Linked DNA regions of Rattus norvegicus. The protein of the gene in region 2 interacts with the protein of the main gene of each other region in a pairwise test. Links are inferred from orthologs where the notes say so. Each region holds a gene or a part of one and is shown on either strand. Other genes may lie near its edges.

Region 1 (9,875 bases), on a different chromosome or scaffold from region 2:
TTTTTGTCCAATGAGTCATCGTGACTAATTTGTTTGACATACTGGGGAAAATCTTCTCCTTACCTTTTCTCTTGTTGATAATTAAAATAAAGTGGGCACAGCATAATGCACTTACTTTGTTTGTTACCAGAAGAGAGACAAATTGCACGAAGAAGAGGAAAGAAAAAGTGCCTGGGTTAGCCAAGAGAGGCAAAGGACGCTGGATAGACTGCGAACATTTAAGCAGGTAATGAAAATGCAGTCTATTGATTATTCACATGGCTTTTCAGAGAACCATGGGCCTCTGACTGTAGGGCTTCTGTTCAGAGTGCTTCCTGGCCATAGTCGTTTAATTGGCTTCCTTCTCTATGGCCAAGCTGGACATTAATATTCTTCTGACTCCTGGTGCCCCACCTCCTGAGTGTATTAAGAATAGGGTTGGGGATTTAGCTCAGGCCCTGGGTTCGGTCCCCAGCTTCCAAAAAAAAAAAAGAATAAAGTGTCAAGAAAGCCTGGATTATTTTGAATTAAAGAAATTATTAATGGCAATAGTACAAAAACACTTCATTTCACTCCTATCAGAAAATTATCAGTTTTTTTTTTTTTTTTTTGAAAGGCAGTATAATTAAAAAAGCTGCAGGAGTGGTTCCCGACAGTTCCCACTCCTCGAGGATCTGTGCTCTGGCTGTTACTATGTCAGCCGCTTTCACACACTGTCCCCTTGGCAGGTTGTTACCTGCCTGGCACACACATTGCCTCCCGAGGGCTATGCTATCGTGGCCCCACATCACGCTAGCCCCACACATTCTATAGCCTAGCCTGTCTCCCTGTCACGGACTCTGCTCACACTCCCAACAACCCAGTGAAATCAAGACTCAACAAACTGTAACCCAACAACCAGATTTATATGTTAATACTCAATGTACAATACATCCACACGATAAACTTACAACCAATTGATGAGGATACAAACTGCCCACCTAGATAAGATAAATTTACAGAAATCCATCCTGACTATCTTGACAATTTAGGACCACCCAAGTCTGGGCCATCGTTCTCAGTCTCCATTTTCATTGTCTCCCTCTCCTGCAAAAACTTTGTCCCTGCCTTATTCTTTTACTGTCCAATCATGGCCTTGATCTAACTTGTGCCAGCCCTCACCTGCATAATGACATCAACCTACACCTTGTAAGCCCCCCTCCCCTGCCCCCTTTTTAAAGTTTCTTCTTTTTTTAAGCATTTGAAAATAGTTTCTTAGCTTATACATTAAGTAGTAATATATACATTGGATAGAGTTTATCTACTGTTTCTTCCTTTGAAGATTAAAGTCACGTGGCTAGTTTTCTTGTTTGTGACATGAGGTCTTGCTGGGTAGCCTTGGGTAGACTGGAATGTGTACAGACCAGGCTGGATGCAGACTCAGAGCCCGCCACTTGCCTCTGTGTCTTGGATGCTGGGATTAAACACAAGTGCAGCACAAGGCCCTGCATGTGGAGTTCTTAAGCAGTTGGCCTCATAGGTGAGAGGGGACAAGGCTTAGCATATTTGATAGTAGATAGTGAAGGGCTTGAGGATAATTGTTTGAAAGGTATTGAAAGTTAGGCACAGGGCTGGAGAGATGGCTCAGTGGTTAAGAGCACTGACTGCTTGTCCAGGGGTCCTGAGTTCAGTTCTCAGCAACCACATGGTGGCTCACAACCATCTGTAATGAGATCTGATGCCCTCCTCTGGTGTGTCTGAAGACAGCTACAGTATATATATATAAATTAATAAAAAAATTTTTAAAAGGAAGTTATGCACAGGCATTCTACTTTGTTTTTTTTCCCCCTGTCTCTTGGATAAAATCAGAAAAGAACCAAATAAATAACATTCTGTTAAAGGAGGAAATAATTAAGCATTTGTTGGCAAGTTAATTTAATACAATGCACCCATTCCCTAACTTTGATATTTTAGAGGTACCCTGGACAAGTCATCCTTAAGTCAACCAGATTACGAGCAGCTCATTCAAGAAGAAAAAGCACGGCAAGTCCTGTGCCCTGTGAGGAGCAGTGTGACTCTCTCCCAGCAGTGCTGCAGGGGGAGGGGAAAGCAGAGGCGGGAGAAGGAAGAGGCCAGCTTGGGTCTTCACAGACAGCAGAACCCCGGAGCCTTGTCCAGCTTGAAGACACTTCATCAGTACAACTTGAATCCACCTCATTACCTCCTCGTGCTGTCACCTCTGAACGGCCTCCTCCTGAGTCAGCTCCACTGTTGACCAATAGTGACCCCGAACGGTGTTCTGTTACTATAGATCCTCTCCCAGCCCCTCTTCCTCCAACACCGCCCCCTCCCCCTCCACCCCCTCCCCCTCCACCCCCACCTCTGCCGGTTGCAAAGGACAGTGGAGCCACCACCCCTGCAGAGACACTGGAGAAAGATGCACTTAGGACAGAGTGTGGTGGGAAGGGAATCCCCAAGTCGGCCAGCGCACCCACAGCACACCTCTTTGACAGCAGCCAGCTGGTCAGCGCCCGGAGAAAGCTCAGAAAGACTGCGGAGGGTTTGCAGAGGAGGAGAGGTGAGTGAGCGGACCTGTCCCACTCTGCTGGAGAGTGAAGCAAGGGTGTGTGTGTGTGTGGATGGATCCTTGCATGGAATTCTGTGTTGCAAAGCTTAAACTATGATTTTTCTATTTACCATTATTTGATAGTGAACATTCAGGGTCACAGCAGAGGAGAATTCTTACCAACTCACAGCAACAAGTGTTCTCAAACATGAGATGCTAGTCCTGTTTTTAAAATGGCCTCTGCCATGACATGTGATTAAGCAATACTTTTCGTGCTAGGTAAGAAGAGGTGCGAGGCCATTGGCAAGGCCATGTGTTTGGTCACAGTTTAGGATTGAAGACAGAAGAACAGGAAGCTATGTGTGCAACTCATTGCATGCCCCGGCATGCATCAATAGAGAGATTTCTAAACTCATTTCCCTGGCCTTTAAGGGACTTTGAATTTGCATGGGGCAAATAATGCAGAGCAATTTGCATATTACATATTGATCTGAGAATATTCTGTAAAATCTTTCATAATACAATCTGAATGGAACCTTGCATGTGAAATAACTGAAAAAAATCCACTGACAGTGAACCAGCATTAAATTGTGTGTGGTGGTGTGTTGGTGTGGGGGGGGACTGTGGGGGTGTACGGGAGTGTGTGTGGGGGTGTGTGGGGGTGTGTGGGAGTGTGTGGGGGTGTGTGGGAGTGTGTGTGGGAGTGTGTGTGGGTGTGTATGGGAGTGTGTGTGGGGGTGTGTGGGGGTGTGTGGGGGTGTGTGTGGGGGTGTGTATGGGAGTGTGTGTGGGAGTGTGTGTGTGGGTGTGTGGGGGTGTGTGGGAGTGTGTGTTGGGGTGTGTGGGAATATGTTGAGGTCAGAGTCTCTTGTAATACCATTCGAGTTGTTCTCTGCCTTACTTATTGAGACAGTTTCTCCCTGAACCTAGAGCTCACCATTTCAGATTGACTACCTAGCCAATGACCCTGCCCCACCCCCGTCAGGCTCCACCCATGTCCTTGCATGTCCCAAGTGCTAGGGTTATAGGTGTGCACAACTCTGTCCAGCTTTTATATGGATGTTGGTTCTAAACTTAGAGCCTCATCTTGGGCATAGCAAGGACTTTACCTACTAAGGCATCTTCTGGCTCCAGTATTAAATTAAAAAAAGAAATATGTAACAAATCACTGCCCTACTTTGGGTACTATGGGGGTCTCACCTGTCGTATTAAGACCTATCATATTCAGCGTGCATTGGAGGTCACAAAATTTGACCAAAACTTTAAAGCTCAATAATCCTCACTGACTGTTTTATCTTTTTCAAAGTGAGCTCACCCATGGATGAAGTGTTAGCATCCTTGAAGCGTGGTAGTTTCCATCTGAAGAAGGTTGAGCAGCGGACTCTGCCTCCCTTTCCTGATGAAGACGACAGTAATAATATTTTGGCGCAGATAAGGAAAGGGGTAAAATTGAAGAAGGTTCAGAAAGAAGTTCTGAGAGAGTCCTTCACGCTTCTGCCTGATGCAGACCCGTTGACACGGAGCATCCACGAGGCTCTGAGAAGAATTAAGGAGGCGTCCCCAGAGTCGGAGGACGAGGACGAGGCTCTGCCTGGCACAGACTGGGAGAACTAGCAGGTACACGGCCGCAGTCCTGGGCTGTGCTCGCTGATGAGCCCCGGCTTCCTTCCTGCTGAGTATGGGGCATGCTCATCATACGTGCTCCATAGCACGGATAATACATGTGTGCATTCCAGTTCTGACTCCAGAGCAGTGTCTTACTCAGTGCAGTGTCTATGTTTTAAAATCCTGTCCTTTACCCAGCATCCCTCTTGTGCAGTCAGGTGTAAGTGTCTCTAGTGTGTCACCGTTGCAGTTGTGAGGGCCTCTGTATCCAGTATCCAGGCTGGTCTGGAACTCCACTCGATTCTCTTGCCATCATGGTATGGATTACATGGTATGGCCAGCAAAGTGTTTTATTCATTTCTGTGTTTAAAGGTGTGTGTGGGGGGGGGGGTTGTCAGGGTGGGGCATGCACATGTGCGCAGTACCCACAGAGACGAGAAGAGACCATTGGTCTTTAGAGATGGAGTAACAGGTGGTTGTGAGCCCTCTGCCATGTGGTCTAGGAAGCTCTTTCAGGTCCTTCTGCAGGTTTTTAAGAGTGCTTGACCAACCATTAAGCCATTTCTCCAGCCCCAGAAAGACTTACAAACCGTTTGTTTCTATCTTGCTCATTAAAATATCTCAAGTGTAGTTATATTCCAAGTAAAGAAGACAGTGTTCTTTTTATCATCTTGACCAGAAAAGCCTTTTTAACTGAATTATTCAAGTTAGTCTTACTGAATCTTGATCCTTTCTTTGCTGCCCAGAAGGGAGTTTTCTCAGGCTAGAAAATTACCAAGTTATCTGGTTATATAGCTTTCTACATATTTAAAATGGTTCACTCACACTATTGTTCTTCACTGTCTACATTAATAAGTTACAAACACCTTGAATCCCGTGTCCAATATAATGGTTTTCACACGCACCGTAATACTTGCAGTCTGCTGTTTGCCGGCCTCCCTCCCCCTTTTGAGGTGGGATCTCACCTTGTAGCTCTAGCTGGTCTGGCACTAGATACACAGATCACGCTGGCCTCCCTTCTCATCTGCTGCTGTATTGGTGAGTTCTGGGATTAAAGGCATGTGCTACCAAGCCCTGCGGCTGCTTATTAAAAGCTAATTATGAAGTGATTAGCACAAATCACACTTACAGAATAGTGATGATAGCGTATGCCATAAGCTAGTTGCATAGCTAAAGGACTGACAGCTACGTCCTTGGCTGGAATAAGGTAATGTGTGCAAAATGTACAGGGCATATGACTTTCTACTCTGAATAATTCTGTTCTCTGACAGACTCTATGGCATTTACTAAAACAGGAAGAGTTAACGAGACTTGGTTGTACTGTTAATACCCCAGCCATGTTCAGGAGGATCATGACTTTGAGGCCAGCCTTTATCACATATCTCAAAACAAAAACTGACGAGTGAACCCCAAAGAGGCAACACACTAGCTAGAGGAGATGCGTGTGTGCGTGCGCGCACACACACACACACACACACACACACACACACACACACACACATGACAGCTATTATTTTTTTTAACCTGGGCATGGTGATACACACCTTTAATCCCAGCATTCAGAGACAGAAGAAGGACTCTGAGTTCAGTCTAGCCTGGTCTATATAGTGGTCTTCAGGACAGCAAAGACTACAGAGTTGTCTTAAGGGGCCTGCGAGAAAAATGTATTTTTAAAATGATTTTTAGCAAGGATGTATACAGGATAATTGTCCGTGGATGGGAGGGTCTGCACAGGATCCTTGGCTGTGTGTGATTCCATGAACTGGCCATAGGGACTTGGTGAGCCTGAATTCCGGCCTTTGACTCCAAATCTGCCGAGGTGGGTGTTTAGTGTATATGCAAGTGCACACGGATTGGGAAGACTTGGCACAATGAAATGGGAAGTATTGGGGGCGGGGATTTAGCTCAGTGGTAGAGCGCTTGCCTAGGAAGCGCAAGGCCCTGGGTTCGGTCCCCAGCTCTGAAAAAAAGAACCCAAAAAACAAACAAACAAACAAAAATATGGGAAGTATTCAAATAAATGATTACTACCAAAAGGGTTTTTACCTGTTCCTTTTGGACCTGGAGGTACGTTAAGGAAAACACCCCTCCTTGCAGCCCTCATCGTCAGCATGGGCCTCAGTCTTACACACAGGTCTAAAATCACATTCTCCATAATGTGTGATTGTGCATTACCTTCTCCCTGTGTTTTCCTTTATTGCTGTAATGTACGGAGACCCTAATTTTCAACCATAGCAGTGTTTCTGATTAATGTATTAATATTCAGAGACTCAAGTTGTCTTCCGGTCCTTTTCCAGAGTACATATTTGCATATCCTCTCCCCCTTCAGTGTCTCCTTTTGGCTTCTCCTGCTGCTTACCTGTGTAGCTCGCCCAGTCCCCACTGACTGGTTAACTGTCCTTTGTGTCCTTATTGCTACACACAACAGCACCTGTCAGCATTCCCATGTTGTCTTTTCCCATCCCACCAGGTCTTGCCGACACATAAGACAGGGCCTCAGCATGTTGTATAATTCAGCTGAGGTGATTTACATGGCTGGGCACTGAGTATCAGGACACTTTGTGAAGGGAGTATGAGAGGCTGGTAGTGTTGAACGAAAACCAGGGAAACACTGAGCAGATGTATGCCCTACATACCTTTAGAGCTCCTCTGAGAGATGACTGTGAGGTTTCCCAGAGATGACTGTGGCTAAGTGTCCCGCAGTAAGTAGCTTTCTAAACCTGAGACAGAATCATAGACTTTATGACAAGGTTCTAATTTGTCTCCTGTAGGGTCTTTCTCAAACTTCTAAGTATAACAGTTCAAAGAGAAAACTGCTGGTAGTCCTTTATAAAGGGAAAAGGAATACGTGAAATTGATCTCAACTTTTATCTGACAGGGGACTACAACAATAACCTTTCAGTATGCAATTGACATACAATTGTGAAATAGTTTGTGTGTGGTGTTTCCAGCTAGCACATCTCAGAGAAGGATCCTACCAAACCAAAATAGATGTACTGGGAAGACACTTTGTTAGAGCCTCTTAGTCTACAAATTAGTCATCTTCTGATCACATTAGCTGTGTTGAGATGCTCAGTGCCCATGTATAACTTCATTAGTAGAAAACAGAACTATAATACAGAAACAAGTTTGCAATACATGCTTGTTCATGTCTCTTTAAAGAATGGTTTTTATCCTCCTCCCAGCGGGCAGGTTGATAAAGCAGTCTGCCTCTGTTGAAGCTTAAAGACTACCATTTAATAGGTCCTACTTACTCTCCTAAGGAACGGAAATGAAAGTGAATCTAACACCCTCAATAGTGATCAAAATTTGTATTAAATGACTCTTGTTCTTACTACTTTAAGAATACAAACATCATGGGGTCTGGGGAGGCGGCTCAATTGTTAAAGATCATTGGCTGTTTTTTAGAGGCCCTGTATATAATTCCCAGTACCCATGTGGCAGCTTAGTGGGTAATTTCAGTCACAGGGATCTGACACCCTCTTCTGGCCTCTACAGGCACTGAAGGCACATGGTACACAGACATACTCATGCAGACACTCATTTACATAGAAAATAAAATCTAGTTTAAAAAATTATAAACATTTTTCTTAAAAGGAAATGCTATACCATTATTGTATAGATTACTATTGAAAAAATATTCATTGAAGATATTTCCAGGAGTATGAGGGAACAGACTTATGCTCTATATTTAAGAGGCATTTTGTTCTAATATTATATTATTTTGTTTGCAAACAGGTAACTTAACAGAGAGAAGAAAAATACCCATGGATGAAGACTGGCTCTGATTTTTTGGGGGAAAGTTTAAGCTCTTGGTCCCACAGTTGGATTCCATTAGATCCCGAGTCTATTGACAACATGGTATGACACACAAAAGGAAGGAGACAGGAGGTTATTACTGTTCAGTCACTCTCCTCGATAGTGCTGACGTCAGCTTTGTGTGCAATGTTCCTGACTGCAGTGAGAACAAGCGCCGGGGGACGGCTGTTCTTGCACATTCTTTTCCCCGTCTGCCCACTCATAGTCTCACCGTGGCCAGTCGTGTCCCTGTGAATTGGGAGAGCATGGGGTTGGCGTCCTTCTGCTGTGCAGGCTGCTTGGGATTCATCTTCCAGGGAACTGAGAAGATGCTTGCTTGAAGCACAGCTGCTTCTACACCAGGTTATAGAAGCAGAGTGACAGGCTGACGAAGATGTTTATCAAGGTAGTTATGGTCAGGAATTAAAAGAAAACAACACGAAATGCACTTAAAATGTCCACGTCACTCACTCATCTCCAAAGGAGATGTTCAGTACCTGAGAAGCCAGTGGAGATAGATGCCTATTGTGTGCACTGAAACATGGCACATTCTAACAGGGCATATTTTTAAGAGGCCACAGTCTTACATTTTGTAAGAGTTTGAAGTTAAAATTTCCATGCTTTTAAAATAGCGTTTCATAATTCTGTATTTAGAATAGTTTGAATTTTATGTGCGTCCTGTTTATGAGAAGCAATGCTTTGTAATTTGATAATGTTACTTTTAGTCTTTTTGTTTGAACTACTGCTTGATTACTATAACTCATGACTTTCCTATTGAGAATCAAAAATCAGGATTCAACAGTAGGGATACAAACAAATTACAACTCTTTGTATCATGCACCAGTTTAAGGTTTATTGCTGTGCTCCTGGTGGGGAGCATGTGTTGAGTAAAGGTCTGGAAGGCAGCGGGCGGTCCCGAGAGCCTCCAGCCGTTATTTCACCGTCTTTTTATTCCGCAGCTAGAACTTTAGGAGAGTGTTTGTTGCTGTGACTAAGTCTTTAAACTTACATGGGCAGATCCAGTGCTGGCTTGGCTGTGTCTGTAAGGGTCCATTTATGAGTGGAGCTGGTGCTGCTTGTCAGTGCGGACATGCCTGTAGGCAGATATGCAGGACCCGTTTCAGCACATTATAGTGTGTGCTAATGATGGAGGAGGAATTAAAATACCAAAAAGAACTTCATTCTTAGAACATTCTTCCCCAGCTTTGCCCACCTGAAAGCCTCGCAGTGTCTGCCTCCAGGAACATGGCTCCCTTCTTGTCACTTTTAAGAGATGTTTCTCTTTAAATTAATTATGAAAAATATTCTTGTAACGGGTTATAGAAAACCAAATCTTTGCACTTAAAACATTCATGTTTATTGATGAGACTAGTAGCATTTACTTAATGTATTGGTTTTAGTCCTAGCATAATTCCCACATCTTGTCCACAACAATTAAAGCAGCTCTGACAGACAAACCTCATTCCTAGAGGAACTCTGTGCCCTTTATACCCCGTAAGTACCAGAATGTGTCTAACCCAAAAGCCATTGGCTAGATAAAAATATTTGAAAAGCTTCAAAACTTAGAAACTTTCTAAAAGTCACCTATCATCCATGCACTGTAACATTTACAGACCTACCTGTCCGTCCGTGCATTGTAACATTTACAGACCTACCTGTCCGTCTGTCCGTGCATTGTATACCCAGGAGCTCAGTTACTTGCTTCTGAGACCTGGCCCTGCTGTGTAGCCCTGGCCAGCCTGGGACGCCCAGGTTTGCCACAGCCCTCTTCTCTCGTCTCTGCTCTCTGCCTCTGTTACAGGCGTGTGGGGGGGGGGGGGGCTGGATTTTTTTTTTTTAAAGATTCATTTTTAAAATTACTTTGAATTATGTATACAGAGGCTCTGGCTTGGTTACTGGGAACCAACCTTGGGTCTTCTGAAGTCATAGTGCATGTTCTTAATCCTAG
Region 2 (10,590 bases):
TGGTGGTCGGGGTTGGGTTTTTCTAGATTTTAGGCTTCTACTTCAAATAAAGGCTGGCACAGAATTGTAAAGTAGCAAGGAAATTTTATTCCAAAGCAAAGCAAACAGCATAGACCAGAAAGAAATACATGGTAAAGGACCAGTAGCCCGCAGGAGTGAGAAACTGTTCGAGGCTCCAATTATGACTTGAGGCTTCCTTTTATGGTGTTCAAGAAAAGAAGTTTGGTTACTAAAGTGTGTAAAGTTGTTTTCTGTGTTGAACAATAGGTTAAGTCATATAATTAATTATTTCCCACATCACTTCCCATAATGCATCTGATCTTAATCATAGAGGCACCCAATTACACACACACACACACACACACACACACACACACACACACACACACACACACACACACATATATATAATGACAGTCAGGGAATTCTCCCTCAAAGTTTACTCAAGGACAGTTTTACCTTTATGTAGGCATACACTCAAAAGCCATTTCAGATCGGATCTGTCCTTTTATTCTTTCTACTCAGATGTATTGGAAATATATTTGTCTTTTTTTTAAAATATTTATTTATTTATTTTATGTATGTGAATACACTGTAGCTGTCTTCAGACACACCAGAAGAGGGCATCGGCTCTCTTTACAGATGGTTGTGAGCCACCATGTGGTTGCTGGGAATTGAACTCAGGACCTCTGGAAGAGCATTCAGTGCTCTTAACCACTGAGCCATCTCTCCAGCCCCCATATTTGTCTTTTTAAAAAAATTATTATTTTTCATAAGCCGAGCCTTTAACAGCTGAAACATCTCTCCAAACCCTTTGGGAATACATTTGAATAAAAAACGTGATAGTTGTTAGAGACAAAGAAACATTAAACTATGGTTCAAAGAGTGGTGTACACACAGCCTGATGTAGGTAGGGGTCCGAGGTGGCTGGGTGTGTTGTCGAGGAAGGTTGTGTATACATGGTACACACAGGTAAAGGAACTAGGCTGCCAAGAGCATTACTGCAACATGGAGGGAATGTGCATAACTAAACCCAAACAGGGTCCCAAATTGCTACACTACTCCCTGTCCTTACCTACTTCAGAAGCAAATCTGGCTTGATATCAATTGACCTGGAGAGATGGCTCAGTGGTTAAGAGCACTGGCTGCTCTTCCAGAAGACCTGGGTTCAATTCCCAGAACTCACATGGCGACTCACAACCATCTGTAACTCCCAATGCCCTCTTCCAGTCTCCTTGCACACTTCACACATGTGGTACAAAGATATAAATACAGGCAAAATGCTGGTGCGTGTGCAAATATGTCATTTTCAAAAATATATGGTTGTAAGAAAGTAAAATTACTGCTGGGAGAGGGAAAGTCAGTTTTCTTTAATGATCATAGCCCCCAGGTAGGTCGTCCATACTCCAGGACAGACCCTGCTCCCAGGGGTAGGAGGACAATACAAACTGGACTCCACTGAAAAATAAAATAAGGGGTTGGGGATTTAGCTCAGTGGTAGAGCGCTTGCCTAGCAAGCGCAAGGCCCTGGGTTCGGTCCCCAGCTCTGAGAAAAAAAAAAAAAAAAGAAAAAGAAAAGAAAAGAAAAGAAATACAAGACGACATCTCAAAGCTGGGGGTAGGGTAGCAAGGTGAGGGTGAAGAGGGTAGATGTGGGAGGAGCAGGGACTCAAAAGCATTTATAAAATTCTGAAAGAATTAATAAAAATATAAAATTTGCTCCAAAGTAAAATTTAAACATGGCTAGGGATGTAGCAAGGTAACAGAGCGTTTGCCTACCATGCAAAAGGTCCAGAGGTTCAAACCCCAGTACTGCAAGAAGAGTAAAAAGATATGAACAGTCTGGTGTGCACAGGAGTGTTGTTGCACTAGTCTTTGAACTTTACTTTTCTGCATGTTGCCAAATGCTCACTTTAAAAATGCTTTAGTGGTTACTCTGAGCATCTAGAAATAAGGATAACAGGGGATAAATGGCTGCATCAGTCCTCAGAAGGGATAATCTCCTGAGGTGGGATGGGGTAAGGCTGAGTCTTAAACCCTGGGATTATGAGGATTAATACAGATCATCCCTCTAAGCTGATCACCTGGCTGACACACCCGGCATGCCTGGCCTTTCAGAGACATTCCTGACAGCCCCGTCCCCCATACCTGCTAAGCTCCTTCCTTCTGACCCCTAACTCCACCCTCCTTTCAACCCCATTTCTGAATGGGGTTTGCCTCCTACTGACAGACTGGTTCTGGTCTCCCTGGAACATTCCCTGAGATCAATGGTGATGACCTGCATCCAGGAACCAGGGAGAGCTTAATCCTAATGCTCAAGATCCAAGCTCTCCTTGTCACAAGCGACAATGTCTTTCTTCTCATTCACCCACTACCAACTGCTACTCTGCCCTGCTGCTGAGACAGAACCGAAGGAGCTGCGTGGGGCAGAACCACGGAGCTTCCAGAACTAGTCCCCCATGAGAGCCCATTTCATCATCTCTAAACATTGTATCTTGCTATCCAAGTCTGGCTGGATGATCTGCAAAACAATAGGCTTGCTTGGCAGCTCTTCTCTATGGCTGGATCACTATAGCCATAGGTCTTGTCCTCTGGTGAAAATGAACAATCATTCATTTCTCTGATCATCAGGCTGGGGGTGGGGGTGGGACTTACTATTGACTTCTTCTAATTTTTGGACTTTTTTTGTTTTGTTTTGTTTTTAGAGACAGGGTTTCTCTGTGTAGCCCTTGCTGTCCTAGAACTCACTCTGTAGACCAGACTGGTCTCGAAATCATAGAGCTCCGCCTGCCCCTGACTCCCAGGTGCTGGGATTAAAGTGTGTGCCGTCACTGCCTGGCAGGCATCATTGTTAATAGGAACATGAGTTTAAATCCATGAGTTAAAATCTGTGATTAATGAGGAAGGCATTATTAATGTAGTTGGAAGGTTCATGTCAACTCATTTATTCCAAGAGTCAGATACTTTGATAATAAAGATACAAAGATGGCCGGTTGTGGTGGCGCACACCGGTAGGATTTGCTGAAGGAGGCAGAGGCAGGAGGATCACGAGTTCGAGGCTAGCCTGGGCTACACATTTTAAAGGGGGTTGGGGATTTAGCTCAGTGGTAGAGCGCTTGCCTAGGAAGCGCAAGGCCCTGGGTTCGGTCCCCAGGTCCCCAGCTCCGAAGGAAAGAAAAAAAAAAGATACAAAGATAGCTAGGGTACTTCCCAATCTTAACGGCAGCCAGTACTCTGATGCTGCCCAGAGGGTCAGAAGAGCATAACAGGGGTGTCTAATAAGGAAGGGATGGCGTGTCTGGAGAGTAACTCTCAACCCGAGGCTGAAATTACTGAAAAACTAGACATGTGCAGCAGGCAAAGAAGTGCTTCATTCCTGTGGAACATGGAGTCTTAAGAGCCTTGCAGCTTGGGGAGTTCGAACAAGGCCAATCCAGGTCCAAACTTTAGGAGTGAGACTACAAGAGAAAGAACTGGTGTGAGTACCCAGTTTAGAAATCTCCCCACGATTAGGACTCGGGGAGCCCATTCCTCCTGAGATGTCAGATCTGCCTCAAGATCAAGTTCATCTCTTGAATAAATAGATGAAAAGATGAAAAGATATGGTTTCCCATATCTCCTGTTACAGGGAACATCAGTGGTGCTCACACGGCACAGGTCACAGAGGGCGTGGCTCAAAGGACGATCTTGGTACACTTAGAGACAGTCTGGGTGGATCCTTGGCCTCTGGCTTGGTGGGAATTCGGGGGAAAGCAGTGATGTGCCGCCTGGTAGTTGGCACATCCAGGTCTCAATTTCCCTACCCGCCAGCTCTGCAATAGCTCTGGGGTGCGCGAGGCCACCCGGAGGGGATGGGCTCTGTAGACTGCCGGGATGGAGATGCTGGCCCAGCCTGGAGACCAAGGAAGTGTGCGCGCGTGTCTGCGCATCTGCATGAAACAGTCTATTCAACACCCCACCCCTCTACCCAAAACTCCCCGGCTTCTATCACCCGGCAAGACCAGGCCCTGATACCCCAGCGCAGAGAGGTCCCCACGCACGGCTGACCCAGGGTGGGTTCTGCAGCCAGAACCAAGCCATCCTAGCACTCCTTGGGAGCATCTTCAAGATCCAGTAGCCCACGCCTGCTTTGCAGGCGCAGCAGACCTGAAGCTGCCTCGGGCGAGCCTGGGGCACTTGGGTGCTTGCTCTGAGACTCTTTTGCAGGTCCCCGATGGGTCTGGGAGCCGGCACTGGGGAGGGTTTCCGGGCGGCCGCAGGCGGGCACTCGCGTCAGGTGGCCAGGCCAGGCCCCGCCCTCTCGGCCCGCCCTCTCTCTTCGTTGCGCACCGGGCTCCCGGTCCCCGGCCCGGAGGCTGCGGCTTCTGCTCGGGAGGCGGCGGCAGCGACGGGAGCGGCCATGGAGGCAGGCGGCGGGGCCGGCGCGGGAGCCGCGGGCTGGAGCTGCCCTGGCCCAGGTCAGAGCCGCCTCTCCCTCAGCTCCCTATGCTCTTTCCCCCAACGTCTCTCCTTCCTTCTGACCCCCAGGTTCTCCTGGTACTGAGTCGGCTTCCTCCACCCTGGCCTCCACCGGATACCGGATACTGCTCTCCATCTTTCGACCTGGGATGTCTCTTCCCAGCGGTCACTCCCCAAGCGCTCCCCATCCAGTCTCTCCAGCCCAACAGTGCTTCCAGCTCACGAGGGGGGCGAGGGGATTGTCTCTAGAACCTGCACCCTTCTAGTTCATCAAAGCTCTTGACTACCGTGAGAGGGTGGGGTGGGCGAGGTCTGGTGAGGGAGAGGAGGGGAGGGGAGAGATTGAGGAAACGGCCTAGTTTAGAGCCCCCTCTCTTCTCTCCTGGTCCGGCCGCCCCTCCCTACTCTGCTTTGCTATAAAGGACCCTCCCAAAACCTTCTTTCCTAGTTCCCACCCTATCCCTCTTCTCCTTGTGCCCCAAGCTAAACACTCACCCTCTTCTGTCTGGGCGAGGGAGAGGAGCCGGAAACAGCCTGGAACAGGGGTGCTGATGTTAGGTAGCTCCGGGCTGGGGTCTTCTCCATAGGCAGAGCATGGGAGGTGGCTAAGGGAATAGAATCACAGAGCTGGGCAGAGTGAGTCAGGCTTCTCCAGTGTGATGACAAATTTCGGGGCTCCCATATAAGAACGCAGGTCCCTTTCTTTCCCCTCGAAACCTACAGTGCCTACTTTCTCCCTGCTCACAGGACCCACAGTAACTACTTTAGGCTCTTATGAGGTATCTGAGGGTTGTGAGAGGAAGAAAGGCCAACGCTGGGGGTCCCTGGAGCGCCGCGGGATGCAAGCTATGGAGGGTGAGTTTTCTGAAAAAGGCTTTTCCATCACTCCATAACTCCCTTCCTCCTTCCTTCCTGACCCCAGAGCTCTGAGCCAGGACAGGGCCCTTCCCTTACTTCATTTCAAGCCCCTCCTTCCTGGTGGCTGAGCTCCAAGCCTCCCCTGGGTTCAGGCATTGATGGAAGTTTGGGCTCATCCCTTTGGGGCTCCAATCACCCAGCTAACCAGGTTGTGTGTCCTGGGGGAGCCGCCAGACAGAAAGAGGTCCTGCTGAAGCCAGCCTGGAAACAGGCTTTCGGCAGGGGGCTTGTTCTTCTCCCTGCCTGTTGACCCAGATCCCAAGCTGTCTCTTATTTTAAAAGCCAGGACATGGACATGTGAACTGTCTTTTCGATGCCGCCACTGTCAACTCTGAACAGAGCTCTGCAGCTTTAGTAAGAAAGTGCTTAGGAGAGAGCTCGATGAAGCCTATTTCCCAGCAGCACTCCTGTGTAGCAGGGCAGGTGGTACCAACCCAGTATCCAGGTCTTCTTGTGAAGTGTCCCCAGGCCCCTGTATAGTTCAGCACAGGCCTTCCCTAGAGACTTAGATCGCATAAGGGATCTCAGATTAACTGTGTGCTGTTGGCATTAGAAAAGGGAAGACCAGACATCTAGAATTTAAAAACAAAGCAATCCCTACCAAGACAAGATGTTGCTATTTACAGGAACTGCATTGCAGTTAAAAAAAAAAAAGTGTTCACGAGCCTGAACATGAAGACCAGTATCAGTTTTTCAAATGTGTCAGCAGGAGTGGAGAGATGGCTTAGCAGTTGACCAGTTCCCAGCACCCACATCGCAGCCCACAGTTGTCTGTGACTCCAGTCTTAGAGGCTCTAATACTCTCTTCTGACCTGCAAGGGCGCTGCACTCACATGATGGACAGACACACACGCAGGGACAGACACACACACAGGCACCTGTATGCATTAAATAAATAAATGAGTAATTTAGAAGAATGTGTTAAGATGGCTGACTTTCTTTCATACACGAGTTCAGCCTGACACTTACTCTGAAAATCAACTTTGGTCAGCAGGCAAGGGATGAACCTTGTGGCACCCAACACGGAAACATCGGGTGTAGAAAATTTCAAGAAGATATTTGATAACATACATTTGAAAGGGTTCCACCAAGTCATTTCCGCCTAATGTTTCCTTTGCTACCTACAGGCCAGGCCGGTGTTTTCTTATTATGAAAAGGCTCTAATACCTTGCAAGCCACCTAGATTTTTTTTTTCCTCCCAAGCTTGCTCCATTTGGCCTAAATAAACAGCTGGTGTCTGAATGTCTGAATCCTTTCTAAACTCCTTGTCCCACTACTCAGAGTTGAGACGACCAGTGCTAGGTGTCCTCAAGCAAGCTTCTTGTAGCTGAGCCTGCATGAGGCTGCTGTAAAGGCAGTAGATAGTCAATATTAGGTGTCAGGAAGCTGGAAAAGGTGCATCCAAATTTGACCCACCAGAGCCTGACCATGAGTTAGGTCCTATCCCAGGGAACCTCGGGGGGGGGGGGGACACCAGGTGGCACTATTCTGCTGTCCAGGGCCTGGGGTTACCACTCCAGGTGCAGGGTTCTGGAACAGGTACTGACTGTGTGGTGGGATGATTGTCTCTCCTAGGGGAGGTGTTACTTCCAGCTCTGTATGAGGAGGAGGAGGAGGAAGAAGAGGAAGAAGAGGAAGAGGTTGAAGAAGAAGATCAAGTACAGAAAGAAGGCAGTTTGGGCTCCCTGTCAGTGGGCAAGCATCGGGGCCTGAGCCTCACAGAGACAGAGCTGGAGGAGCTGAGGGCTCAGGTGCTCCAGCTGGTGGCAGAGCTGGAGGAGACCCGTGAGCTTGCTGGGCAGCATGAGGATGACTGCCTGGAGCTTCAGGGTGAGCACCCGTGACAGGGCAGGGTCTTGGGCCCAAAGGGTGTGTGTATCCCCGGTTCCAAACCAGACGTTCCTCTCACTGCAGGGCTCCTGGAGGATGAGCGGCTGGCCAGTGCCCAGCAGGCCGAAGTATTCACCAAACAGATCCAGCAGCTCCAAGGTAACTGCCCCCCAAGTCTAGACAGAGGGGAAGTGGCCACGCTAGTCAAACAAACCTAACTCAGAACCTTACCTCTCTCCTTTTCTTTATTTCCTTGCCCCTTCTGTCTTAGTCAGGGTTTCTAGTCCTGCACAAACATCAGGACCAAGAAGTAAGTTGGGGAGGAAAGGGTTTATTCAGCTTACACTTCTGTGTTGCTGTTCATCACCAAAGGAAGTCAGGACCGGAACTTAAGCAGGTCAGGAAGCAGGAGCTGATACAGAGGCCATGGAGGGATGTTACTTACTGGCTTGCTTCCCCTGGTTTGCTCAGGTTGCTCTCTGATAGAACCCAAGACCACCAGCCCAGGGACGGCACCACCCACAATGGGCTGGGTCCGCCCCACTTGATCACTAGTTGAGAAAATGCCTTACAGCTGGGTCTCATGGAGGCATTTCCTCAACTGAGGCTCCTTTCTCTGTGATAACCCCAGCTTGTGTCAAGCTGACACACAGAACCAGCCAGTATACCTTCTCTTCTCCTTGCCCCGTGTTCTCCTTTTTTCTTAATTTCCCATCTTTACCTATCTACATGGCCATCCTGCCCTCCTCTCTCTTGCCTTCCTATCTTTCCCAGCCTCCCCCCCCCCATCCCTATTTACTTTGTTCTTCTGCCCAGGGCCAGGGGTGTATGATCCAGGATGAGTTCCAGGCTGTATTTCTCATCCTGGTTCCTCCAAGGTCTCCATAGGGACCCGCTGGAGGACATTCCAGTGTCATTGAAGGAAACAGATAAGAACCTGAGTCTGTGGTCCCCAATTCCTCTATTTCAGTCCCTGTCCTTTTGTCTCAGGAAACAGTGAGGCAAGCGTCGTCCCATATTCCACTGCACTACCAAATAGAGAGCTTTTGTTACTTCTGTGGGCTTCCGGAAGGTTCTGAGGATCTGCCCTAGAAAACAGCAGGGACTCTGTAGGGAGAGCTGAGATCAAGCCAAATGCAAAGTGTAAATGGAGATGGGGGAAAAGGTCTGGAAGCCGTCCTGGAGAGAGCAAGCGAATGAACAGAACCTATATGAGGAGGAGCAGAAGAGAAGGGTACAGCATGCAAGCAACGGGAGATGGGGGAAATGTGGCAAAGAGAAATAGCAGACACAGCACGGTGTGTGTGTGTGTGTGCGTATGCGTGTGCGTGCGTGTGTGCGTGTGTGCGTGTGTGTGTGTAAACTCCCAGGTTTACCTTTACCCATGCACAAAGTTCATTATCTTGGGCAGGTCACTTATCCTCCAGAGTCTCCATTTCTTCCCTGTAAAACAGTTGTCTGTCACCTGTTTGTTGAGATCCTTTGTATTTAAAGGACCAACAAAGAACACAATTGTCCAAATTCCTAAAGAGTAGATTCCACAGCTGGGTAGGGTGCACAGGCCGGAAATCTCAGTATGTGGGAAGTAGAGGCAGGGAAAATCAGGAATTTGATGCCAGCCTTGGCTACATAGTGAGTTCAAGGCTATCATAAGACCCTGTGCCATTAAAAATAAATAAGTTCTAAAGGAAAGTGTAACAATACAAGTAATAAAGGCAACACAGGTATGAATATGACGCTCAGATACATATGTGGTACTGACAAGTTGTTTTTCTGCCAGTAAAATGAGCCAACTCAAGCCAGATTAGATTATATTAAATGCAGGTTCATTGGGAAGCTACATTCAGGCAAGTTCACTGACCCCCCAAGGACTGAGGCCGGGGCAGTCACCATGGGGAGACGGGGGAAGAAGAAGAGAAAGAAAGGAAAAGTATGTGCAAAGAGAGAAGAGAAGAAGAGGAGAGAGAAAGGGAGACCAAAATGTCTGGAATACATAGGGAGGAGCCTCTCGGGGAAGGGCAGCCCAACCCCTGTGCTGGAAAGTTCAGGGTTAGGGGCAGGGTATGCCAGGTTGGGACTGAGGGATGCTGGGAGAACCTGGAGGCTAGGTCTGCTTTGGTAGGTAAGATATGCACCTCAGTCCCTTATCCCGGGACAGATACATGGATAGGGATGAAGTGGGAGTTGGCTAGGTTATGAAAAGTCTTCAAGACATTGGTGCGTCAGTTGTGTAACGGGAAGCGTCCAACCATTCAAAATCAGGTGGAAGAACCTGGTAGACAGAAGAGCAGCAACAGCAAGTCCCAGAGATGAGGACGAGTTTCATGTGTTAGGGGGTGCAGAACCAAGGTCACTGCAAAGTTCATGTGAAGGACCCTTGTAGGAGGAAGTTCTAAGAAGAGGGCAGAGGTCTGGTTAGAGTAGGTAGGCCTTTTAGGTTAGCAGACAGAGCTAGCATCCATTGTAGATGCCATAAGAGGTATTTTCCATGACCGGAGTGGCTGATATGTTTTATATTTCTAGTTAGCGCTTTGTCTTTTTCCTCCCGTGGTAGGGGTTTAATCCAAGGCCTTTGCCAGGTGCTGACCACAGAGCAACATCCCTAAACCTTTGCTTTACCTTTTCAAAAGAGTACTTTAGAACCCCAGAGGAAGAAATGGAGTCAAACACACCAGTTGGTCCATTTAGCTGACTGTTTTGTTGAACTAAGGCAGTAGAAATGGAACCAGTTGGAGACATATGGAAACTGGGTAAATACCCATATCTAATGGCTGGCATGGGAAAACTTGGTAAGAAATTTGCTTGGGAACTAGAGAAGCCCTTTAAGAGATTTTGGCTGGATAGGTTCAATGTCCAAGTGAGTATGTGAAGGAGCCATTTGGATGTGTGGTCTAGAACCAGGGGAGAAATGAGCTTGAAATGAGTGTTGGTAATTATAAACATGCAGACAGCATTATAATCTATGGGAGATGGACATTCATTCATACCAAGAGATACCAGAGGGGAGAGAAACAGTCCATAGAGATTCTCCTAACTAGATGCCAAAGATAAAAGGAATGGCAAAAGAAACGTGATAGAAGGAACACCTAAATCCATTCTGGCCTGAAAGCCAAGAGAAAAAAAAAAACCAACAAAAAAAAAAAACCGCTTATCCACTATGTGGAAAATTGTGAAAGCAAGTAAGGTGGCTGCCGAGGGTTGGCAAGATGGAGAACCAGGAGACACGGCAGAATGGATTGGGATTAGAGGAAAAACGGAGAACAAACTGAATACAGATCAGGGTGATAGCCATTTTAAAGAGAAGTAAGGGAAGGTGAGGTGAGATCTTGGGAAAGTGTTTTTTTTTTTGTTTGTTTGTTTGTTTGTTTGTTTGTTTTAAGACAA
Region 3 (10,470 bases), on a different chromosome or scaffold from region 2:
CTTTCCTAGATCTCTGACCTCCATAGTGCTGTGACAAATGCCTTAGCCGTCACCTCCCTTTCCTTCAGTTGCTGGGGACAAAACCCAAGCTGCTCAGTATATTTTACTTTTAAACACCGTTTAACGATTCATGTAGCCCAGGCTGGCTGGCTGGTTACTCTCTTCATAATCAACAGAGACCTTGAACTCTTCCTTTCGATCCTGCCCCCACTTCTCTAGAGCTGAGAGGACGGGCTTGGGGCAATCCTCCTGTGTCAGCAGCAGCAGGGTGTCTCTGCATTTCTGAACCCTTATGGATTCAGCTCAGGTTTCTACTTCCTCAGGCTATCCCACTCCTCCCTTGTGCCTTGCTGGCTGGAGAAGTCGCCAGGGATCTGTGGTTCCAGGCCATGTTGAAAACTGAAAGTCACAGTGAGGGCCCTGAGGAGCCACGGTGGGCTTGAGAGCCTTCAGGGTCAGGCAGGATCAAAGCTGGACGGCCAGGATGTTAGTTAGATCTCTGGCCGGGGAGACGGAGACAATGTCAGATAAAAAGCCCAACAGAGAGGTGATGGTTCTGCTTAACCTCGTGAATGGAAGGGATGTGGCCCCTGGAAAGGCTTTGGAATTGGGCAAAGGTCAGAAAAGACAAGTTCAGAGGAAGGTTGACAGGAAGGAATCAGCGTCCAGGTCCTGGGGGTGGGAGCCTAGACAGATCCTGACAGCTTTTGATGTCCCTCCAGCGACCTAGCAGCCCAGGACACCAAGCCCAGGCCTCCATCCATCCGGATTTCCTGGTGGCTGAAGTCCAGCCTCAGGCACGGGGGCTGCTTTGATGCAGTGGGGTTCAGACCCGCTGATGGGAGCCAGGCTCGCCTGAATTTCCTGACATTTCAGGATGGCTGGAGGGGAAAGAGGCCTTAGTGTTTCTCACTGTTCAATAAAAGAACGAGATCCTCACAGGACTGAGAGTGTGAGGCCATGGTGTGTCAATAACATTTTCACGTCTAACTTAAGTGTTTTGTTCGCCCCTAGTTTTTCAGGGCAAGGTCTTTCCCTGGCTGTCCTGGAACTCACTCTATAGACCAGATTGATCTCAAACTCACAGAGATCTCCTGCCTCTGCCTCCCAAGCGCTGGGATTAAAGGTGTGCAGCATCACTCCAGGTTTAATTTTTTTTTCTTTTTTCTTTTTTTCAGAGCTGGGGGCTGAACCCAGGGCCTTGCACTTGCTAGGCAAGCGCTCTACCACTGAGCTAAATCCCCAACCCCTTAATTTTTTTTAAAGGTTTATTTTATTTTATGTATGTGAATATACTATATCTGTCTTCAGACACACCAGAAGAGGGCATCAGATCCCATTACAGATGGTTATGCACCACCATGTGGATGCTGGGAGTTGAACTCAGGACTGCTGGAAGAGCAGTCAGTGCTCTTAACCGCTGAGCCATCTCTCCAGCCCCCACTCCAGGTTTAAGAAGCCATTTGGGGTTTGGGGGATAGACTGGGGTGGATACAGGGCCTGGGGCTTGCAAGGCAGACACTGCCACCGAGCTCTGTTCCCACACAACACACTGAAAGTTTAACCAGAGGGTGAGGCAGGGGGATTGCAAGCTCAGCTGCACCTGGGCAGTTTAGTGAGAGTGAGAGACCCTGAATCAAAACTTACAAAGGGGGCTGGAGAGATGGCTCAGCGGTTAAGAGCACTGACTGCTCTTCCAGAGGTGGTCCTGAGTTCAATTCCCAGCAACCACATGGTGGCTCACAACCATCTGTAATGGGATGCCCTCTTCTAGTGTGTCTCATCATAAAATAAATAAATCTAAAGAAGAAGAAGAAGAAGAAGAAGAAGAAGAAGAAGAAGAAGAAGAAGAAGAAGAAGAAGAAGAAGAAGAAGAAGAAGAAGAAGAAGAAGAAGAAGAGATAGAAGAAGAGAAAAAAATCTAAAAAGATCTAGGGCAGGGACTAGTGGCGTACACCCTAATTCCTACACTGTAGAGAGGCAGGAGGATCTCTGTGAGTTTGAGCCCAGTCTGGTCTACAGAGCTACAGGACTGCCAGGCTACACAAAGAAACCCTGCGTCATATAACAAGACAAAACAAAACACAGAAAACAAAATTACAAAAAAGAAAGAAAAATGGTGGGTTGGTGATTTAGCTCAGTGGTAGAGCGCTTGCCTACCAAGCCCAAGGCCCTGGGTTCAGTCCCCAGCTCCGAAAAAAAGAAGAAAGACAGACAGACAGACAGACAGACAGACAGACAGACAGACAGACAAATGGTCTGGGCATGGCCCAGGGTGGGATTCATGCCTAAAACTCCCTCAGTGAAGGGCTGGAGCTGAGGTTGGAGGTGGAGCCCTGCCTAGTGTCGCCCCACCCCCAGAGAGGGCTGGTGTGGGGGTCAGAGACAGAAAGCCTGCCCAGTCTCTATAGGTCTCCGTTCTGTTTCCACCACAAACAAAACAAAATAAAACAACCGTAGAACAGACGCGCTGATACATCTGTTATCTGAGCCTCAAGGACTCGTTACTGTTACTCCATCCCAGCAACCTTACCCCACAGCCAAACCTGTCTGAAACTACATCCCTGGTGCTTCCAAGGTCGACTTAAAAACACCATAAACTCAGACCTGGGTCTGTTCTATCTTTTTTTTTTTTTTTTTTCTCTTTTTTCTTTTTTTCGGAGCTGGGGACCGAACCCAGGGCCTTGCGCTTGCTAGGCAAGCGCTCTACCACTGAGCTAAATCCCCAACCCCCTGTTCTATCTTTTTAATTGTAATTAATTACTTTGGTTCTTCAAGACAGGTTTTCTCTGTGTATCCCAGCTGTCCTGGAACTTGCATATCTATAGACCAGGCTGGCCTCGAACTCACAGAGATCCATCTGCCTCTGCCTCTCGAGTGCTGGGATTCATGGTGTGTGCCACCACCTCCCGGCTTCTGTCTTTTTCGAAGGCCCAAGGAATTTTTTTTTTTTTTTTTTTTTTTTTTTTGTCGGAGCTGAGGACTGAACCCAGGGCCTTGTGCTTGCTAGGCAAGCGCTCTACCACTGAGCTAAATCCCCAACCCCGGCTTCTGTCTTTTTATTTATTTTTTTTAATATTTTATTTATTTAAGGACACTGTAGCTGTCTTCAGACACACCAGAAGAGGGCATCAGATCTCAATACAGATGGTTGTGAGCCACCATGTGGTTGCTGGGATTTGAACTTGGGACCTCTGGAAGAGCACTCGGTCCTCTTAACCACTGAACCATCTCTCCAGCCCTTATTTATTTATTTTTAACTGTTTTTGAGAGGCTTTCACTATGTAGCACAGGGAAGACTGGAACTTACAGAGATTCCCCCCCTTCTGCCAGCATTAAAGGCGGGTAGGTAATGGCACACCAAGCTCACAGCCAGTGATGAAGGTCGAGACTCAGTACAGAGTAACTGCCAGGCTCCCTTCTTGGGCCACCTTGGCCTCGGTCCTCACAGCCGCCGGCCATTGTTCTCCCCCAATGTTCTATCTCTGCTGTAACAGGAAGCCCAGGTTTGATCAAGCCCAACCTTATCTAAGCAGCTCTATCTGCACTGTCACTTGCTTGAGAAAAGCGGCTCAGAATCCCCTAGGCCGCGAGTTGGGGGCGTCACTTGCACCTGCCATTAAGGCAGACAAACACATGTTGCATGTGTAAGCATGTGCGTGGTCCCATAAACACATACCATCATCGCCATGTGTCTAATGAGTTACCACATTGTCATCTGGCCAACATTACCCCATCACAGGGTTCCAGTTTATAACAGTGAGGGAGGACGGAGGCCAAGACCGCAGTGCATCAGGGAAACGCCCTAATCTTGTCCCCAGTCCCTCATTGGGGATTATGGGCGGGGCTCCACTCTGACCACGCCCCCAGCCCTTAGTGTGTCTAACAGGAATTGAACTGGAAGAGCAGCAGGTTTTATTTAACCACTGAGCAATAACTTCAAGCATTTCTTTAAAAAAAAAGATTTATTTATTATTTCATGTTTATGAGCATTTTTCCCTGCATGTAAACCTGTGTGCCCGCGCGTTTGTCTAATGCTAATGCTCTTTTTCCTAAAAAGGTAAAAAGAGATCTCTTGAGACTGGAGTTACAGATAGTTTTCAGCAGACAAATGGGTGCTGGGAATAGAATTCAGGTTTCCTGCAAGAGAAACGCACTCTCCACCACAGACCCACAACTCTCCAATCCTCTTCAGTTTCTCTTTTACTGTGGACTGTTACAGACTAGAGTAAAATCACATTTGGCAACCGAGATGTGGGGTGTGCTGTCTCTTCTTTTTGGATAATGAGGATCAAATTCAAGTTGTTGGACTTCTCTGTAAATCCCTTTACTTTTTTATTATTTTTAAGATTTTTTTTTAATTTTTAATTTTTATTTTTATTTGAGTACACACTAGCTGTCTTCAGATACACCAGAAGAGGGCATCGGATCCCATTACAGATGGTTGTGAGCCACCATGTGGTTGCTGGGAATTGAACTCAGGTCCTTTGGAAGAGCAGTCAGTGCTCTTAACCACTGAGCCATGTCTCCAGCCCTTTAAGATTTATTTTTGCATATGGGTACAACACAGCTGTCTTCACACACACATCAGATCCCATTACAGATCGTTGTGAGTCACCATGTGGTTGCTGGGAATTGAACTCAGGACCTCGGGAAGAGCAGTGAATGCTCTTAACCTCTGAGCCATGCCTCCAGCCCACCCCTTTGCTTGCTAAGCCCTCTTGTCAGCCTGCAGCTGACCTTCAAAATGCTTTATTTATGAAAATGCTCTCAGCCGAGCTTCTAGCTTAGACCTAGGTGTCAGCCTCCCAGCCTGTTACTCTTCCTATGGTTCAATGCATCCCTCGGTCAAAAAGTAAAACCAAGGCTCCACAGAAAGGAAAATCAGTGACTGGTGGTCAGGGTATATACACAGACCATTTCCCCAGTCCTCCATTTATAAAGCATACGTTCATTCATTTATTTTGGTGTGTATGTGTTGCACATGTCACAGCACACGGTGGAGCTCAGAGGACAACTTGCTGGAAAATCCATTCTCACTTACCACTTTGTGGGTTCCAAACTCAAGTCGTCCACTAGGTGGCGAGCACCTTCAAGTGCTGTGCAATCTCACCAGACCCATTTTTCTTTCAACGTAGTAAGAAAAAATACGCCTTGCCCTACTGCAGAGGGGTGCCTCTTTGGAACTTAACTCCTTCCTCAGGAGCCTACTAAAAACGCCTCCTCCGCCGACCGCGTCCCTGGTCTCCATCTCCATACCTACTGGCCCTTTAAGGAGCTCCGCCCCACAGCGCGCCGCCAATCGCCTCCGATTGGTCCCGAGCCCGTCCGAGCGCAGCCGAACTTGACGCACCCGCCCGCAACCTGCCCGACGCACCTCCCACGCGGCTCCGCAGATCTTTAGCCAATCACCGCCCGGCGCGCCGAAATTAATCTGCATAACCCCGCCCCCATGGATTACTCAGCCAATTGAAGCGCTAGGCTTGGGTTTATTAGCATGAGGGAGGAGCGGGCGCGGGCGCTTGGTTGGAGCGTCGCCGCATCCCAGGTCCCGGGAAAGTTTTTTCAGAGGTGAAAAGAGCCGGGAAGTCGGGGCCTGCGCGGGGCGGAGGCTGCGGGGCGCGGCCTCCGGGACTCGATCTCGCAACAAAGGATCGCGGGGCCTCCCGCCCCAGGACCTACCCGCCCCGGGATCAGCCTCCCCCGCTTGGGCACCCCGGGGACCGGCCTGCGGTCCCGTCGGGGTGGCAGGCAGGAACCCCCTAACCTTTGCCGGCTTCTGTTCCAGGACCCCCCCGGAGTGGCCATGTCCCACGGTCCCCGGCAGCCAGGCGCAGCCACCGCGTGAGTGCGCCTCCCCCTGCCTGTCCCGACCCTGGATATGTCTTGTCCCCATCGTCGAGTACCCCTGGAAATGCCTTGTGTCCACCTCGAGTACCACTGGTCATGCCCGTCTCTACCCCGGGTACTCCTGGGCATGTCCTGTCCCACATCTCTGGGAACCCCTGAACATTCCATGTATCTACTCTCGGGTACTCCTAAACACGTTATGTCCACGCTGGGACCTCTGGACATGCACTGTCCTACCCTTAGGTACCTCTGTGAACCCCTCTTTTGGGAACCCTGGACCTGTCCTGTCCCTGTTTCCTACCTTATCCCCACTACTGGGACTTCTGACCATGTCCTGTCACTCTTCGGGATTTCTGTACTCCCCGTAGAATTGACAGGGAACCCTATAGTCTTCCTCGCTATCTCATTTTGCTCCTAGGCTCCAGGACCACCTCACTGCATCCTCCCCCCGCTCCCGGCCCCACCTCGAAATCCTTGAACTATCCTCACTCCACAGTGGTCTACTGTGACCCTTGGATCCTCAAACCCTAGGTCCCCACCCCCTTTTCCCGGGCTCATGCTTGCTCTCACATACTTCTGTGATCTCCAGTGACAAGAATGGGATGGGTAGGTATGGGGGAATGATTCTGGCACTTAATGGTGACCCTGGTTTCCTGTGTCCCCAAGACCTGCGGGAGGCAAGACTCCGGGCCAGCATGGGGCCTTTGTAGTGGCTGTCAAGCAGGAGCGCAGCGAAGGTCCCCGTGCCGGAGAGAAGGGGCCCCAGGAGGAGGAGGTGAGTCCCCATCTGAAAAGCCTGTCCCGGGCTGGGGATTTAGCTCAGTGGTAGAGCGCTTACCTAGGAAGCGCAAGGCCCTGGGTTCGGTCCCCAGCTCCGAAAAAAAAAAAAAAAAAAAAAAAAAAAAAGCCTGTCCCCTGGCTCAGCAACACACACCTCACAAGTCCACACTGTATAAGACCCTCCCACTGCCTAGCAAGAGGCCACGCCCCCGCCCATCCTGTCATTGGCTTCAGTCCCACCCCTAGGAGGTTGTCTCCGCACAGGACAATTGGCTCTCTAGAGTTCTGACCCTTGATCTGCTGTCCCACTACTAGGCTAGGCCCCGCCCACACGCCCCAGACCCCGCCCACAGTTCTCAGAGCCCCTCCCAAGGACACAGCCCCCTCCTGCAGCCAGTGAAGAAGCGAGGCTGGCCCAAAGGCAAGAAAAGAAAGAAGATTCTCCCCAATGGGCCCAAGGCCCCGGTCACGGGCTATGTTCGCTTCCTGAACGAGAGGCGGGAGCAGATTCGCACCCGACATCCGGACCTTCCCTTCCCGGAGATCACCAAGATGTTGGGCGCGGAGTGGAGCAAGCTGCAGCCAGCAGAGAAGCAGGTAGAGACCAGAGAAGCGGGTGGCAGAAACAGGAGGGTTCCTGGGTCTTCCTGCCAGCAAGGCAAGCCTCATCGGTGATCTTCGGGTTCAGTGAGAGACCCTGGCTCAAAGAACAAGGTGGAGAGTGAGTCAGACAGACCTGGAGAAGGGATGCTCTTTCTAAGGGTTTGAGGGAGGGAGAGAGGCAAGGTGGGAGTTACGAACAGGTCCTGGCTCTGGCCACCCCTGTGTGCCTGCCTTCGTTTGGGCTGGCCCTAGTTTGTGGGTGCTACTCCCCTCCCAGCGGTACCTGGATGAGGCAGAGAAGGAGAAACAGCAGTACTTGAAGGAGCTGTGGGCATACCAGCAGTCAGAGGCCTACAAGGTCTGCACCGAGAAGATCCAAGAAAACAAAATAAAAAAAGGTGAGTGAGTCGGGCAGTGGTGGCACACACCTTTAATCCAGCCCTTGGGAGGCAGAGGAGCTCTGCGTTCGAAGCCAGCCTGGTCTATAAACAGTTCCGGGGGGCTGGAGAGATGGCTCAGCGGTTAAGAGCACTGACTGCTCTTCCAGAGGTCCTGAGTTCAAATCCCAGCAACCACATGGTGGCTCACAACCATCTGTAATGAGATCCGATGTCCTCTTCTGGTGTGTCTGAAGATAGTAACAGTGTACTTACATATAATAAATAAATAAATCTTAAAAAAAAAAAAAACAGTTCCGGGACAGCCACAGATACCCAGGGAAACCCTGTCTCAAAAACAAACAAACAAACAAACAAACAAACACCCAGCAACAACAAAAAGAAAGGTTAATGGGCCCAAACTCCAATGGGCACAAAGGTTTCCAAGGGGGCCATGGGTGGGGACTTGGGACTGGGAGGGTCCCTGGAGTCCTGGCTGACCTGCCTTCTTCCCTCCTCACCAGAGGACTCCAGCTCTGGGCTCATGAACACCCTCCTGAATGGACACAAGGTAAGGGCCTCTCTGTCCAGAAGGACTTAAGGGAGAAGACACCAATGTTTTTAGACACCCCTCCTCCTTCCCCAGTGAGTGTGCCCCATAGATATAGGCAAGACCACTGTGGAGACACAGCAACACCATGGTGGGGCATAGCTTAGTCCTGACCTGACATGTAGGAAGCTGGGGACTCCAGGGCCGCTCAGAGCTGAGAACATTCACTGCTCTGCAGAGGAAAAAAGATTCAGTTTCCAGCACCCCCTTGGCTGTGTGCACAGCCATCTCTAACTTCAGTTCTGGGGGATCAGCTACCTGCTACCCTCTTCTAGCCTTTGTGGATACTGCATACATATGGGACACACACACACACACACACACACACACACACACACACACACACCCCAAAGGAAATAAAAGCAGGCCAAGTGCTCCAGGAGGCCCAAGCTCCAGAGATGTGGGTCCCTACCAAACTCATTGCCATGTCCCAGGGTGTGGACTGCGGCGATGGCTTTTCAACCTTTGATGTTCCCATCTTCACTGAAGAGTTTTTGGACCAAAACAAAGGTGAGATTTTCGTAGGTGCTGGTGTCCTGGTAGGAAGAAGATTGGAAATGAGAATGAGGACTGAAGTCAGGACTGAGGTTTCAGGGGCCCAGGACAGAGGAGGGATGGAGTTAGGGATGGATTGGGAATAGAGGGAAGACAGCCAGGCTGGAGACGGTAGGGGTGGGGGTAGGGCTAAGATTGGGGGGAGAAAAGGGTCAGGGCTGGGGTCGGGGATTGAGGGCCGATACCGGGTCTGAAGGGAGATGAGGTCAGGGGTAAGGCCAGGGATGGAGGGGAAGGGTCGGGATGAGGCCAGAGACGAAGTGGGTCTACAGCACTCCAGGACCAGTTCCAGGGCTCTGACTCCTGTCCTGCAGCACGCGAGGCAGAGCTGCGGCGCCTGCGGAAGATGAACGTGGCTTTCGAGGAGCAGAACGCAGTGCTGCAGCGCCACACTCAGAGCATGAACAGCGCTCGTGAGCGTCTGGAGCAAGAGCTGGCGCTGGAGGAGCGGCGCACGCTGGCGCTGCAACAGCAACTGCAGGCTGTGAGACAAGCGCTCACGGCTAGTTTCGCCTCTCTGCCGGTGCCCGGTGCGCAGCCCCGCCCACAGCTCTGGGCCCGCCCACAGCCCCGGGCCCGCCCACAGGACGTTCTGTTAGGCCCCGCCCCAATTCCGCGCCAGGCTCCGCTTCCGCAGTATCTGTCCCATCTACCGGACGCGGACCTGCCTGTTGCGCGTAGGCCCCCCCGCCCCCGCCCAAGGAACGCCCCTTCTCTGCGTGTTCAGCCTCGGGTCCGCCCCTCACTAACCCGCTGACCCGCAGGCACCGGGGAGACGCCGACGCTCGGAACGCTGGACTTCTACATGGCGCGGCTTCACGGAGCCATCGAGCGCGACCCGGCGCAGCACGAGAGACTGATCGCGCGCGTCAAGGAGATCCTGGCGCGAGTAGCCAGGTCCGAGGTGCAGGAGGGGAGGAACGGGGTGAAGAGAGAGTATGGCTCAGCTCGAGGTCTTCATCACCCCCTCTGTCCCACAGCGAGCACCTGTGACAGGCCTCTTGGACCGGGAGACGCCCCTCCACACCCGCCCAGGAAGAAGCTGCACCTTGGGGTCTCCAGACCCCCCTCAAATGAAATCTCAACTGCATCCCTTTAACCTCGAACCCCAACCCAGGTTGCAGAGCCCGGAAGACCTGCCTGCCTCACAGGGAGGGTCACAGTACAGTGGGTCAGGAACAGAGGAACCATGGCCTCCGGACTCAGATACCCCACCGCCACCCCTGATGAAGAGCAGGACCCTAGGCCACTCACCATACAGCCACTGGACCCACTGGGCAGGCGCTAACCAAGCAGCGCCGGGGTAGGGGTGGGGTAGTCCAACAGCCCCTTACCCCACGCCTTTCATCACTCAATCCGGACTTTTAAATATGTGTCAATAAAAGCAAGTGAGTTTTCATTCAAGTTAACAGTTGTGGCTTCAGAGGAGTAGGCCCAGCCTGTTCATGATTGTCCTGCTGCGGTGGCCTGGCCTGCCTTCCTACCTCTAGTACAGGATCTCAGAACCTTCACTACACGGTTATCAAGTGGGGAAACTGAGGCAGAGTTGGGCTAGAGTCCCCTATCGCCCTGTCCGTTTTGAGGATCCTCTGTGGCTTTAGGGTCAGGCTGGATTCAGTTCACCCAACCCCCAGATTGGACTTCAGTCCACCTCCCAGAAATTTTACTAAATAAAACTTGCTTTAGCTGAGTGGT

Evidence for each region.
Region 1: the proteins of Ccdc136 (region 2) and Jmy interact in binary tests that used the Homo sapiens proteins (3 or more experiments, as listed by UniProt). The two-hybrid records come from large-scale screens. The link is inferred for Rattus norvegicus from reciprocal best matches to the Homo sapiens genes CCDC136 and JMY.
Region 3: the proteins of Ccdc136 (region 2) and Hmg20b interact in binary tests that used the Homo sapiens proteins (3 or more experiments, as listed by UniProt). The two-hybrid records come from large-scale screens. The link is inferred for Rattus norvegicus from reciprocal best matches to the Homo sapiens genes CCDC136 and HMG20B.

What each region holds. Positions count from the first base shown.
Region 1 is NC_086020.1:26,404,235-26,414,109, reverse strand, and holds part of Jmy (junction-mediating and -regulatory protein), read left to right. Parts: intron 1-130; coding exon 131-226; intron 227-1,932; coding exon 1,933-2,536; intron 2,537-3,830; coding exon 3,831-4,138; 3' UTR 4,139-4,141; intron 4,142-7,867; 3' UTR 7,868-9,875. UniProt on the Homo sapiens protein: Acts both as a nuclear p53/TP53-cofactor and a cytoplasmic regulator of actin dynamics depending on conditions. In nucleus, acts as a cofactor that increases p53/TP53 response via its interaction with p300/EP300.
Region 2 is NC_086022.1:58,958,894-58,969,483, forward strand, and holds the start of Ccdc136 (coiled-coil domain-containing protein 136), read left to right. Parts: upstream 1-4,302; 5' UTR 4,303-4,399; coding exon 4,400-4,457; intron 4,458-5,205; coding exon 5,206-5,313; intron 5,314-6,951; coding exon 6,952-7,206; intron 7,207-7,290; coding exon 7,291-7,365; intron 7,366-10,590. UniProt on the Homo sapiens protein: May play a role in acrosome formation in spermatogenesis and in fertilization.
Region 3 is NC_086025.1:9,014,201-9,024,670, forward strand, and holds Hmg20b (SWI/SNF-related matrix-associated actin-dependent regulator of chromatin subfamily E member 1-related), read left to right. Parts: upstream 1-5,501; 5' UTR 5,502-5,806; coding exon 5,807-5,844; intron 5,845-6,516; coding exon 6,517-6,625; intron 6,626-6,945; coding exon of another isoform or gene 6,946-7,023; coding exon 7,024-7,227; intron 7,228-7,510; coding exon 7,511-7,631; intron 7,632-8,134; coding exon 8,135-8,181; intron 8,182-8,654; coding exon 8,655-8,730; intron 8,731-9,047; coding exon of another isoform or gene 9,048-9,089; coding exon 9,090-9,305; coding exon of another isoform or gene 9,306-9,452; intron 9,453-9,539; coding exon 9,540-9,672; intron 9,673-9,755; coding exon 9,756-9,768; 3' UTR 9,769-10,182; downstream 10,183-10,470. UniProt on the Homo sapiens protein: Required for correct progression through G2 phase of the cell cycle and entry into mitosis. Required for RCOR1/CoREST mediated repression of neuronal specific gene promoters.